Linked DNA regions of Drosophila melanogaster. The protein of the gene in region 2 purifies or fractionates together with the protein of the main gene of each other region. This does not show direct contact. Each region holds a gene or a part of one and is shown on either strand. Other genes may lie near its edges.

Evidence for each region. Proteins that work in one complex are often made in the same cells at the same time.
Region 1: the proteins of Rab10 (region 2) and vri purify together in Drosophila melanogaster (affinity purification with mass spectrometry, with the first as the bait; one large-scale study listed by BioGRID). This does not show direct contact.

Annotation. Positions count from the first base shown.
Region 1 is NT_033779.5:5,302,722-5,308,630, reverse strand, and holds the start of vri (vrille), read right to left. Parts: upstream 2,982-5,909; 5' UTR 2,607-2,981; coding exon 2,465-2,606; intron 1,067-2,464; coding exon 719-1,066; intron 611-718; coding exon 1-610.
Region 2 is NC_004354.4:20,248,209-20,254,117, forward strand, and holds the start of Rab10 (Rab10), read left to right. Parts: upstream 1-3,129; 5' UTR 3,130-3,422; coding exon 3,423-3,549; intron 3,550-4,029; coding exon 4,030-4,229; intron 4,230-4,299; coding exon 4,300-4,389; intron 4,390-4,857; coding exon 4,858-5,055; 3' UTR 5,056-5,909. Other genes in the region: CG17068 (uncharacterized protein), read right to left, coding at 661-2,745.

The DNA.
Region 1 (5,909 bases), on a different chromosome or scaffold from region 2:
TTGGGTCCGTAGATCAGTGGAGATAGTGGTGGACCCACCGGATAGCCATTGTGGCCACCTTGAGGCGATCCCTCGCCCGATCCACTGCCCGAGGGCGAGGAGCCCGAGGAGGAGCCACCACTGCCGCTCATCTTGGCGCGCTTTGTGTTACTCAGCACCTGTTCGCTGGTGGGCAGCGAGGCGAGGATCTTCTCCACGCTCACCAGATTCTCGCCGGAGATGTTGAACTTGTCGCGTATGGCGTCCAGCTGGGCCTTCAGCACATGGTTCTCTTTGGTCAGCTCGATGACGCGCTGCTCCAGAACCATGTCATTGTAGCGCCTCTTCTCTCGACTCCGCTTGGCCGCCTCGTTGTTCCTTCTCCGGCGATCCCAGTAGCTCTCGTCCTTCTTGTTGTCCGGGGTGAATTCGCGTTGCTTTCGCTGCGAGAAGAGCTCTTTCTGGGCGGCGGTCAACGCCGACTGCGGTCCATTGCCACCCTGTGAGGGCGACTGGGCCATCATTCCATCTCCATAGCCGCTTCCCGGGACATATTTGCCCAGACTGTCGGACATGCCGCTGTCATTTGACTGCGGACTTATGGATCCTCCGTACATGGACAACGGATGCACTGTAAGGAGAGAAGGGCATAGGATTAGTTCTCAAGCTTTGGAACTATAGATGGATAGATAATTGATATGATCAGAGCCACTGCATCATTATATTCTCGGACACTTACAGTTAGAAGCCTCGTTGGAGCTGCCGTTCATCGAGAGAGTCGGCGATATATTGGATAGCCGGACGTTGTTCATCATGGCGATGTTGGCTTTGTTGTGGCTGTTGGTGGGCGTGCCGCTGAGGACCTCGGGCATTGCTGTGGACACAGACGCCTCCGGATAGAGTTTGCCCGGCGGCGCTAGCAGGAGCAGCTTCTCCTCTTTGCCTCCGGTGGGGGGGCGTGGCCCGTAGGGAAAGTCGCTGCCGCTCAGCTTCTGCTGGCTGTAGTGATGCAGCTGCGCTAGTTTCTGCTGCAGTTGCTGCTGGTGTTGCAGATGGCTGTTGTTGCTTTGAGCTTGGATGCGGGGAACTGCAATGCAAAGATAGAGAGGTTAGTCTCTTTGACATTCATAGTTCCTTAAGAAGGGACGTATTTTATTTTATTATATTGCTAAACTTATTTATACCTTTAAAAAGTATTGTATAGCACTTTTAAGATCTTTTAAACTATTTCAACTATTCTCTGTTATGAATTCAAATTAAAGCGTTCTACCAATTTGTACAACACTCATTTCCTGCGCCTGGAAGCAGACTACACTTTTTGCAGCCCCGAAAATAATAAACAAACAAGACCTTGCCCCCAATTAAAAGCCAAGATTGCGAAGAATATCTCTTTCCTGCTACCAAAACAATATCACTTATCACCTATTTATGGCATTTCTTTCAAATGTTCTTATCTAGCTACATATGCGACATTTAGAAAATATATACATATTTAGTAATACTAATCAGGCTGAGCATTTGATAAGCTAACAAATTGACAAGGCGTCCGCCACTCAACGCAAAACTCGTTGGGTCCCCAAAATGTCTAATGCGATCTTGTCTGGCCCAACGCACACACAAACATGCAGAACTTTCTTTGTTCGTTGGTCCTTGCCCTTGCTGCTTGCCCTCGTCTATAGCTTTACCGTTTGCTTTCGTTTTTAGCACAGGCATTTACACAATGATTACGCCGAATGATGCAAGAATCGGCGAGTGGGAGCGAGAAAGAGAGGGAGCGAGAATTAGACGACAAAGGCGACGAAGAACCAGCACAATCACACACACACAGACAAAGTGTTAGAATGTAAACAAGAAATCGCACATTGCACATCTGTGTGTGAGTGCGCCCCCGCTCCCGTACCCTTAGACATCTTTCTCCCACTCTCTTTCTTTCTCACTCACCCTCACCATGACCATCGAATTGGCATTTACAGTTCAATGTGCTCGCAGACACAAACACACACACACACACACATGCACGTACACTTAAGCGCTCTGGCGGCCAGACTCTGCCGACAACCCCTAAACGGGAGAGCAACAGAGAGGGCAACACAGAGAGCAGCGCTGCAGTCGGCATCTTGACAAAATTCACAAAAACAAAATGACTAAGCTTCGCCAGTCATTCCACCGCACCCCACTCAGCCCCCCATTCACCCACACTTTTTCGGGCTATTTTGTTTTGCGTCTCAATCTTTCGTGTGTTATTGTTTTCAGCCGACTAAGTTTAGTAAATATTCTAGAACTGATTAACAGTTGCCACTGTACTACGCAAAAAGAGCAGAAATATTTAAATATTGTGATTGTCATCAGTTTTCACACAAATTCTCAACAGATTTCAAGATCAAACGTGGAAAGTTCGAAAATGCTGCTCAAAGAAGCACATAGTTTTAAACTTTTCGTAACACTGATTTATTTGTTATAACTTTCGTAGCACTTGAACACCTACATTTATTGTTGCTGGGATTATCCTGCTTGTAGTTATTGATGTAATTCGTATCCGTATTGTTTTTGAGTATCAACAGATTTTTGGTCGTTGCAGCCGCTTTGAAAAAGTTCACTTTCTGTTCCAGCGTGCAGACAATCGACATAATGTTTTGTTGTTAGAACGAACAAATTGGCATTGTTTTTGTGTGCGCTTGCAGATATTATCCAAATCTTTTGAAAATTGTTTTTCAAACACTTGTGCAGTTCGGGGTTTAACCAATTTGACCGATTTAGTTGGCTAACGCGACGTTTCTGCGCTTGATGCACTTGGCCGAAATGCTTTTAACGGCTCGACCGACGGCTCTCACTTGCTTATCGCGGTTGTGAACCCGATCGGCTGTATATTATATGGTTTGGTAGTATAGTCTAGAGACTTATCGCGAGCGCCTGAACCGCTTCGAAAGAAGGCTGAATCGCAATTGAATTTGTAAAAGCATTTCTCCGACGAGCTGCTCGGCGGTCACGTTGTGGCAACACGCATCCGATACACGCGACCTAGCGTGTTCGCTCGCAACATGTTGCGAACGGTTCGATGCAGTAAAAGTGAAATTTCTCAATCGCCGCTTCGAACATGTACCAGCATGCCCGTTGCAAGCGATCACATTGCCGTTGTTGTTGAGTAATCAGCGCGGCAATCTCGGCAAGAACAAAATCGTTTCGAGCTGCATATTCGAAACTAGAACGTGATTGCCTGCTGCGGGGGGTGGGGTAGCTCTTGCCAGCGGGTTCGCTCTTGACGCTCAAACACACACAAGAACGCACACACACGTAAGGTGACTGAGGTGCTTTGGCCGCGTGAGTCCGATTTCGATTGCGATTCTTATTCCCATTCTGATTCCGATTCTCGGTACTGGTTGTATTCATTTTTTTTTACCCTTTTTGGGTTCGATGTGTTCGTGTGAGTATGCTTGTGTGTGTGTGCCAGTTGGGTTGGTGACGCAAGCGTCTTACACAAAATATTCAGAGAACCAGCAGCACATTATTAATAATCGAGAATGCATTCAAATGCACACATGCAAATGGCTGGGGAGTTGGGAAAACTGATTTGAATGAAAAGCTTAGGCAAGACACTTTTTTAAGTTGCATGTAAGAGTGGATAACTAGAGGAAATTTCCTTACGTATTTAATTAACATTATGAAAGGTAATTAAAAATTTAAGAACATTGATAAGGAAGCAAAAGTATTTGCCTTAAGATGTAGCTTATTGATTTGATTTTAATGTATAGCATTAAAGTACATACACATACGTACATATGTATATTTGAAGTTCCAATCAGTGAATTTTTGGGTTTCCCCACTCTACAAACATATTTGCGTTCAGAATAAATTCCCAGAAAATCTAATTCGAGTAGAGTAAACAGTAAACAGTGCTAGCTAACTATTGAACTCGTCTAAATCTGCATACAATTACCAATTTATTTAATGTACGACGAACAAATCGACAGATCACGTGGCTTTGAAACTTTGGATAGTTTAACAAGGGGAATATATGGTCGTGCCGATAACTTCCCAGCCACCAAACTGTCTGGTTGGCTATTACAAAACCACTTCACAGCTTATATAAATCATAATTAAGTGCTTAACACTGCGATACGGTTATCAGAATGGATGGGGTGACTATCAACTTAGTTGCAGTGGAAGACAAAGACGGCTATTTAAGTACTACACTAGGCAAACAACGAGTTGTTGTAAAAAAGTAAGGTCGGGAGATATTACGTAATTTCCTATTCACCAGGCAGTAAAACACTAACGCGGAACAAACAGTGAATAGTATCGAATCGAAAGAAGAAATTCCATTGAATTCGCATAAAAACAGTTCTCGATGGCGATTACCAAATGCCAGAAAACCGGAAAAGTGGAGAATAAATGAAATGAAATACATATGTATGTACATAAATACTGATTAAAGTGCAATACATAAAGTGCACTTTATCAGTGCTAATAATAGAACTAAGAAAACTATATTGCATTAAGTCAGTAGACCACTGTATAATGTTAGTGTTTTAAAGTACGAGCCTATAACTGACCTATCCTCCTGGGGCATAGCAATTTTCTACTAAATATCGTTACCTTATGTAATCTGGCTATACACTTGGCAGTTTCAATTGCACAGCTTCCAGTTCCATGATCATGAGCAAATCTCAATTACGCGATCACTGCGCGATATCCACGTGAGTCGCCCGATTCACGTGTCCGGACCAATCGTAGTCGGATCCGTCGGGATGGTGGGCCAGACCCCCCCGACCAACCCCTCTGGGATACCCCGTAATCTGCGGCACATCCATTATCAGTATGCAAATATGTATGTGTAATGTGGCCCTTATCACACTCCACTCTGTTTGCTGTGGTGTGCTGGTTTGTGTAGTGTTTTCTATACTAACATTCTGCCCCGGGATGCCAACACTCATCTTTTGGTTTGTTTTGACACACTCATACTCGAATATGGTATAGGGTATAGGGAGGAATTGCTGTAGTTAGCCCAAAACGGTTACGAAACACTTTCGTCGTCGACGTCGACGTCGACTGTGTAGTCTCGGATTCTGCTAGCACCCCGTGAAAAGGCGATGTGGAAAACCCCCTGCTCCACCCCTCCCCATTCCACTGCATCAGCAGTCAAGTTATAGCAGCGCTATTTATATTTTCCGCAGCAAGAGGCGTGCGCGCTGACTCGACGTTCGCCGCTGGACGCTCCACGTTCGACAATCGGCAATCCAGCAATCCCGCCACCCGGCAATCCGACCACCCGGCTATCCGGCAATCGGCGGAGCGGTCACGTGTCGTGGAATGTGAGGCACCAGCGGCTAGTGCAACGCTCCCCAACAGCCGGCCTGCGACGGCTCACATGTTGGCGACTTGAGTCGGCTACGCAAGCCAAATGGAAATTAACGTGTTCTCCACTTATTGCGTTTGTTCCCTAGCTGATACAGTGGTCCTTCGAGAGAAGGAACTGCTATCTACCTAAGAAGTAATATCTAGCTTATAACCTGATATTTACAAATAATATTTTTGAATTTTTCCTCTAAAAAGATGCTTACGTATGCGTAATATTATGTATACGCATAGTGTGCTGTATAAAGTATACGACAATATTACGTATACGCATAGTATGCTGTACTTCGTATATGCAATATTATTACAGTTCACTTTTGTGAATTTCCACTGTATCTAGATTGATTCCAATACTAATATTATTTTTTTTTCCATAACACCCTCCATATGTGCGACTTGCAGGGGGGCCCAATCCCAATAGAAAAAAATGCAAATCTTCGCAAGAATTTTGTTTGCACATTGCATTGATTGCTATACGCCAAAGGTTTTTGTTGTTACTTGGCAACGTGCTCGCTGGAATTGTGCCGCTGCGGTAATTGTAGTTGTAATTGTCACAACATGTAATTCTTACTGTTGTA
Region 2 (5,909 bases):
GTAGCCATTCTTGGTGGGAGTTTGGTTTGGAAGGTTCTTAAACGACGTACCCATCATAGCCCAGAGCTTTACAATTAGGATTGAGACACGCGACGGCATTAGGAAATATATTAAATATGTTTTATTAAATTGAAATATACCAATTTAGTCTTGTGTAAATCTTAAAATATTTGCTTGTTGCTCTACAAAACCTAAGCTCAAAAATATTACTTTTGGAAGAAAAACATTTAAGTGGTGTTCGTTGAGAGGGACGTTTGGATAATCATTATCATTAGGCAGCTAAAATCAAGCATGCAAAAAAAAAGAAATGCATAATTGGCTACAGCGTTTCAGAACAAATTGAACTTGGCAATAAACCTGTACAAACATAATGCAACAATTGCAGTTGCATTAGCCATTGCTGACCAGAAATGCGATGTTCATTTCTAGTCATTTGCTTGGCGATCCAAAACAGATAAGGAACACAAACAATCCATACACACACACATGGTAAGTGATGTAAAAACTATGCACAATTAGTTCCCATTTTGGAACTAGGAGAAGGGGAAATATAATCGTACAGATCAAATAATTTCCATGGCCAATGACGCCAACCAAAGACTATCACATCGGAAATACAAGGAAGGAGACCTAAACTAACGAACTCATATTGCTCCGCATTCAGTCGACCAGGTGACGGCCATGGTCCTGCGGTGTGGAGAAGATAATTGCGTAGATAAGGCCGTCGCGAACCGATTCGGTGGGGTTGCCCACGTTGAACATGAACTTCACGCGATTGCAGTTGGCATCGGGCACACAGGAGTACATGGGATACCAGCCGGTCTTGTTGAACACCACGTAGATCTTGTAGATCTGGTTTCGGTATATGTACACCGGTCGATCGAACGTGATGTCCAGCAGCGAATCGTAACGCACGCGTGCCGTGCAGTGCGTGTATGTGATGCGTGAGCCGTGCATGTCCTGGATGTGGGCGTACAGCACCTCGGTGTATCGTTCCGTAAAACCGGCAGAAGTCATCAGCTCGCCGCACAGCACGCGCGTGGGCACTTGGACGCCCAGGATCCAAATGTTGGTGTCCACCTGGAACGTTACGCCCGCATCCGTGACGCTGGTGTTGCGGAAGTCAAATTGCCGGGTAAGGGAGCGCATACAGTACGCGCGCACCATGTCGTTGTGCGAATTTCCAGCTGCGGATCCAGCTCCTCCAGCTGCAGCGCCGCCAGCGGGCGCCGGTGCGCCTCGATCGCCGCCATCATCATCATTGGCGGGCGCTGGGACTGGCGCTCCGCTCTCGTAGCCCTCGCCGAAGCAGCGCAGTGGTGCTGGCGCAGGTGCGGCATCCGGTGGGACGCCCACCGGTTCCGGCGGGCGGATGACCAATTCCTCGCCTGCGAAGCCGAATCCCGTGCCCACGGATCCGAAACGGGGCGCAATGCCCATCATCATACCGCCGCCGGAGGGTCCTCCGCTGCGAACTGCCGGTCCCGGTCCCGGGAAACAGACGCCCGAGGGAGCGGCTCCAGTGCGATACGAGGAGGACAATTCTCTCTGGGCGTGTCGGTGGCCCGACTCGTAGAAGTTGCGCGTGCTCCGCGACACGCAGAAGCCTTCGGGCATGTGACAATCGTTGAGCGAGGGACTGGAGATCTTAATCAGGATGGAGAGGGCCTCGTGCTGCTGCAGCAGCTTGGAACGGGCCGGTCCCTCCGCGAACTGCTGCGGCGTCATGGTGAGAAAGCGAATCTTTTTGACCGCCTGCCTGAGCATGGCGCCATCGAGAATGGTGCGCTGGGCGTCCATGATGTTAATCATGTTGGCGGCGGCATCGGCCGAAGCGTCGCTATCGATGATTACCAGGTCGTCGGAGCCGGAAGCCACGTCCAGCGGCGGGGAGGCAGCCGTGGGCGCAGCTGCAGCCGCGGCAGCCGCAGAGGAAGTGGAAGCCATCCCAGCGTCCGTTTCGAAGCTGTCAGCCTCGTCGTCCTGGTGCATGTGCTGCACCATGGCCGCCACATCGGGCTCCATCTTGATCTCTTCGACCAGCACATGGCCGGCAGCATTGTCGGGCGATTCCTTGGTCAGCACCTGACCTCCGCTAGCAGTCTCTTCCTGGCCGGACTCGTTCAGGATGCCCCGCTCACTGGCAAACTTCAGCAGGCAGTTGAACAAATCCAGCTCGGAGTCGATGTTCAGGCGATTCTGGTCAAGAATGGCCATCAGGGTGGAGACCTCGATGTCCAGGAAGCTGGGATCGGACAGAACCTCGCGCGTGTTGGCCGCGATCAGATCCATGCTGCTTTGCATGAGGCGCGGCTCATCGAACAGCTTGGCAAACTCGTACGCCCGGCACGCGTTTTTCGGACTAAGATCAGCCCAAAGGAAATGGGTGCAGCGCGTGACCACGTGGGGCAGCATGTACTTCTTGGCCACGTAGCACAGCTCGCAGGCCTTGTCGAAGGACCCAATGGTGATGCGGTCCGTGTAGATGTACTCCAGCATCGCCTCGAACGCCTCCGGCTGCACGTCCGGAATGACGATGGGGTCCGTCTTATCGGGCAGGTTGCCATAGAACATTCGCTCGAACACCGGCGAAGCCATGGCCAGTAGCAGCTTGTGGCCGGCAATGAGCCGCTGGGTGGGCGAAGAACCCACCAGAAAGCGGCAGTCGGCCCACTTCTCCGAGTGGAGCAGGTACTGGCCCCGATCCTTCAGCTCGGTGAGGCCGTTTTGCCAGTCGATGTCCATTGCCTGCGGTGGATTGGCTGGGATTGGGATCACTGTAATCCAAACGTTGTTCGCTCTGATTTGTGTGAATAATCCACCTTTTTGCGAATCGGTTTGGGATTTTGCGAAATTGTTATTATTTTACGATACCGATAATTGAATGCGTGCTTACCTATCGATTGGCTGTCGTACCGATAGCAGAGGTCTGCCAAATGGCGTAATAATTAAAAGTCATGTTATGAGCTTTCTAGCAAAAATACTTAAGCATTTAAGGTATTATCAAGAGTAAACTCAAATCTTTCTTTAGATTTTAAGCTGTGATTTCAAAACTGTGACTCCATAGCAGTCGATAGTTGTATTAAACCATCGAAGTTGCCACACTGGTGAGAGCATGGATGGTATCGAACAGATATCGATTCATGTTCCAGCTCTAGTTCTAATAGCAACAATTTCAAGCGAAAATATTAATTAATTCGGCGCATTTAAGACACGCGGAGAAAAAAGAGCTAGCTCGAGATACAGGATCATTGCTTAGGCGGCCATAACCGAGAGAAAGAGCGAAAAAGGGCAGGCGCTTCAATAATAATAATATCTCTTGTCACCTGCGCCCGTGCGTTTGTGTGTGTGTGTGTTTGCGTGCGTGTGAGTGTCGCGTGTGTTTGTGCTTTGTTCTGCGAGCGTTCCGTTGCGTTTTGGAAATGGCAAAGAAAACCTACGATTTGCTCTTTAAACTGTTGCTGATCGGTGATTCAGGAGTGGGCAAGACGTGCATATTGTTCCGGTTCTCGGATGATGCATTCACGTCCACGTTCATATCGACCATAGGTGAGTAACGGGACCGTACGCACATACTTGCATCTGTCCACCCGCACCGCACACACACACACACGCGCACATGTCAGCTGCACAGCCAGGATATATATACGTGTGTGTGGGTGTGTGACTGGGCGTGGCACTGCCTTATCGACTGGCCTATGCACTGCTTGTTTCGATCGCCTGCGGAGTGGAAAGCGGAGGAGAAGTGAGCAAAATATGCCATCTATGTGGCTATGTAACTCCCTGAACTTGAACTTTTCGTACTAAACTACTGCATGTTCGCAACACGTAACACAGACGTGTGATCATTTGGTTGGAATGAATGCTTCATATACGTCTAATGTAATGAATCATCGTGATATCAATGTCGAACTGCTTTATTTTATTCAATTCCAATGTAATCGATAACACCGCCGTGACGTCATTCGGCTCAAATTGCGTTGGTTTTTCCGCACTACATTTGCTTTCTCGTTCAACCGTTTTTCTCAGGCATCGATTTCAAAATCAAAACAGTCGAGCTGCGCGGCAAGAAGATCAAGCTGCAAATATGGGACACCGCCGGCCAGGAGCGGTTCCACACGATAACCACCTCGTACTATCGAGGCGCCATGGGCATAATGCTGGTCTATGACATAACGAACGAGAAGAGTTTCGAGAACATAGTCAAATGGTTACGGAATATAGACGAGGTAGGTGTTTCCCCTGCGAGTAATGGCCTTTTCTAAAGTCTGAAATCTTCTTCTTTTTTTTTTGTTTTAGCACGCCAACGAGGATGTGGAGAAGATGATCCTCGGCAACAAGTGCGATATGACGGACAAGAGGGTGGTCAACAAGGAGCGCGGCGAAGCGGTGAGCATCCCTCATCCACAGAGTGCCCCCACAACAGCAATCACTGTCAGAGATTAGGAAATATAGTCGTAGTTAGATCGTTAAGCTCTTCTGCCATAGGAGTTGAGTTCGGAAATCGATCATATATTAGTGTGTTTAGCTTTCAAAGCCAACTGTTTTTTACAAGCGAATTCCATGCCCCTTAATAGTTTCCTATTGTTTTGATTTTTTAAGATAAGTTTGCAAATTGAACACAGCGAATATATTCGTTCTCTGACAATCAAGACGAAACTATTTAGGTGCTATAGTATGTCCGTGGTAATGAATGCAAGGGAAAATTTCCGGAGGCATACAATTTATGTTAGAACTATTCTGGTTATTTATTATGATTGTTACTCAATGATCGCACACGCCCCACGTCTGTTTGATCAATTTGTTTACAAAGCCAATAACTTGCTCCCCTTCCCCATCTCTGCCCACGTTTTTTAGATTGCCCGTGAACATGGCATTCGGTTTATGGAAACATCCGCCAAGTCGAACATAAACATCGAGCGGGCCTTCTGCGAGCTGGCCGAGGCCATTCTGGACAAGACATCAGGACGCGAGTCGGCGGAGAATCAGGAGCGCGTGATTATCGATCGCCGGAACCAGGAGAAGGCGCCGGGCTACAGCAAGTGCTGCGCGTAAAAAGCGGCGTTCTAGGCGAACGGGGCGTGGTTTGGCCCGGTTTGTGCTCAGCTGTGCGTGGGGAAGGCGGCGAAGTACGGATTGGATTGGATTAAACTGGACTAGATTGAATTGGAATGGAACGAAACGAATCGAATCGAACCGAAAGCAGTGGGGACCGGTTTCTGAAACCGCTCCGCACGGACGAAGCAAAAAACAAAGCAATAGAGCCGGGGTCATTCGCACGTAGGAAACTTACTTATTACGAGGATACGCAAAATGGAACAAGCAACAGAAACAACCTACCTAAAGTTTAACAACAAGCAACAGATATTGTAATACGAACATTTGGAAGCAACTTTACAAAACTCCGAACGATGGATGGTGGTCGGGCATGGGCCACGTTAGTTAACGCCCACACAACGTGGACGCAAGGATCTGCATATCCATGCCGCACTCGATCGGTTGACTAACGTGGATCGGATAACGAGGATCAGCTCCAGCCACTGTCCAGCCACAAGAAACGATAATGATAGCGCTGATGTCGCTGACGCAGACATAAGCAACTTTTGTAACGTACTTTTGATACACATATAGTCTTACGATTCCTGTACTCAGTCATTCGATCGCTCGCTCGCTCGCTCGTTCGCCACCACTCGCACTCCCCAGCCGCCCCACTTAGTGTTTCGTTTTTGTTTTGCGTTTCAGCCTAGATATAAATAACACCTATACATATTATACATCGGATAGTAGTATATAGCCTATACCTACTTAGCTTGCTTTCGCTTTCTATGTCGACGCCAAGCCAAGCCAGCGAGGAGTTCGATGGGGCGGGTGGTGATGTACGCCCTGCTCTGCGTCCTGGCCACTCAAGC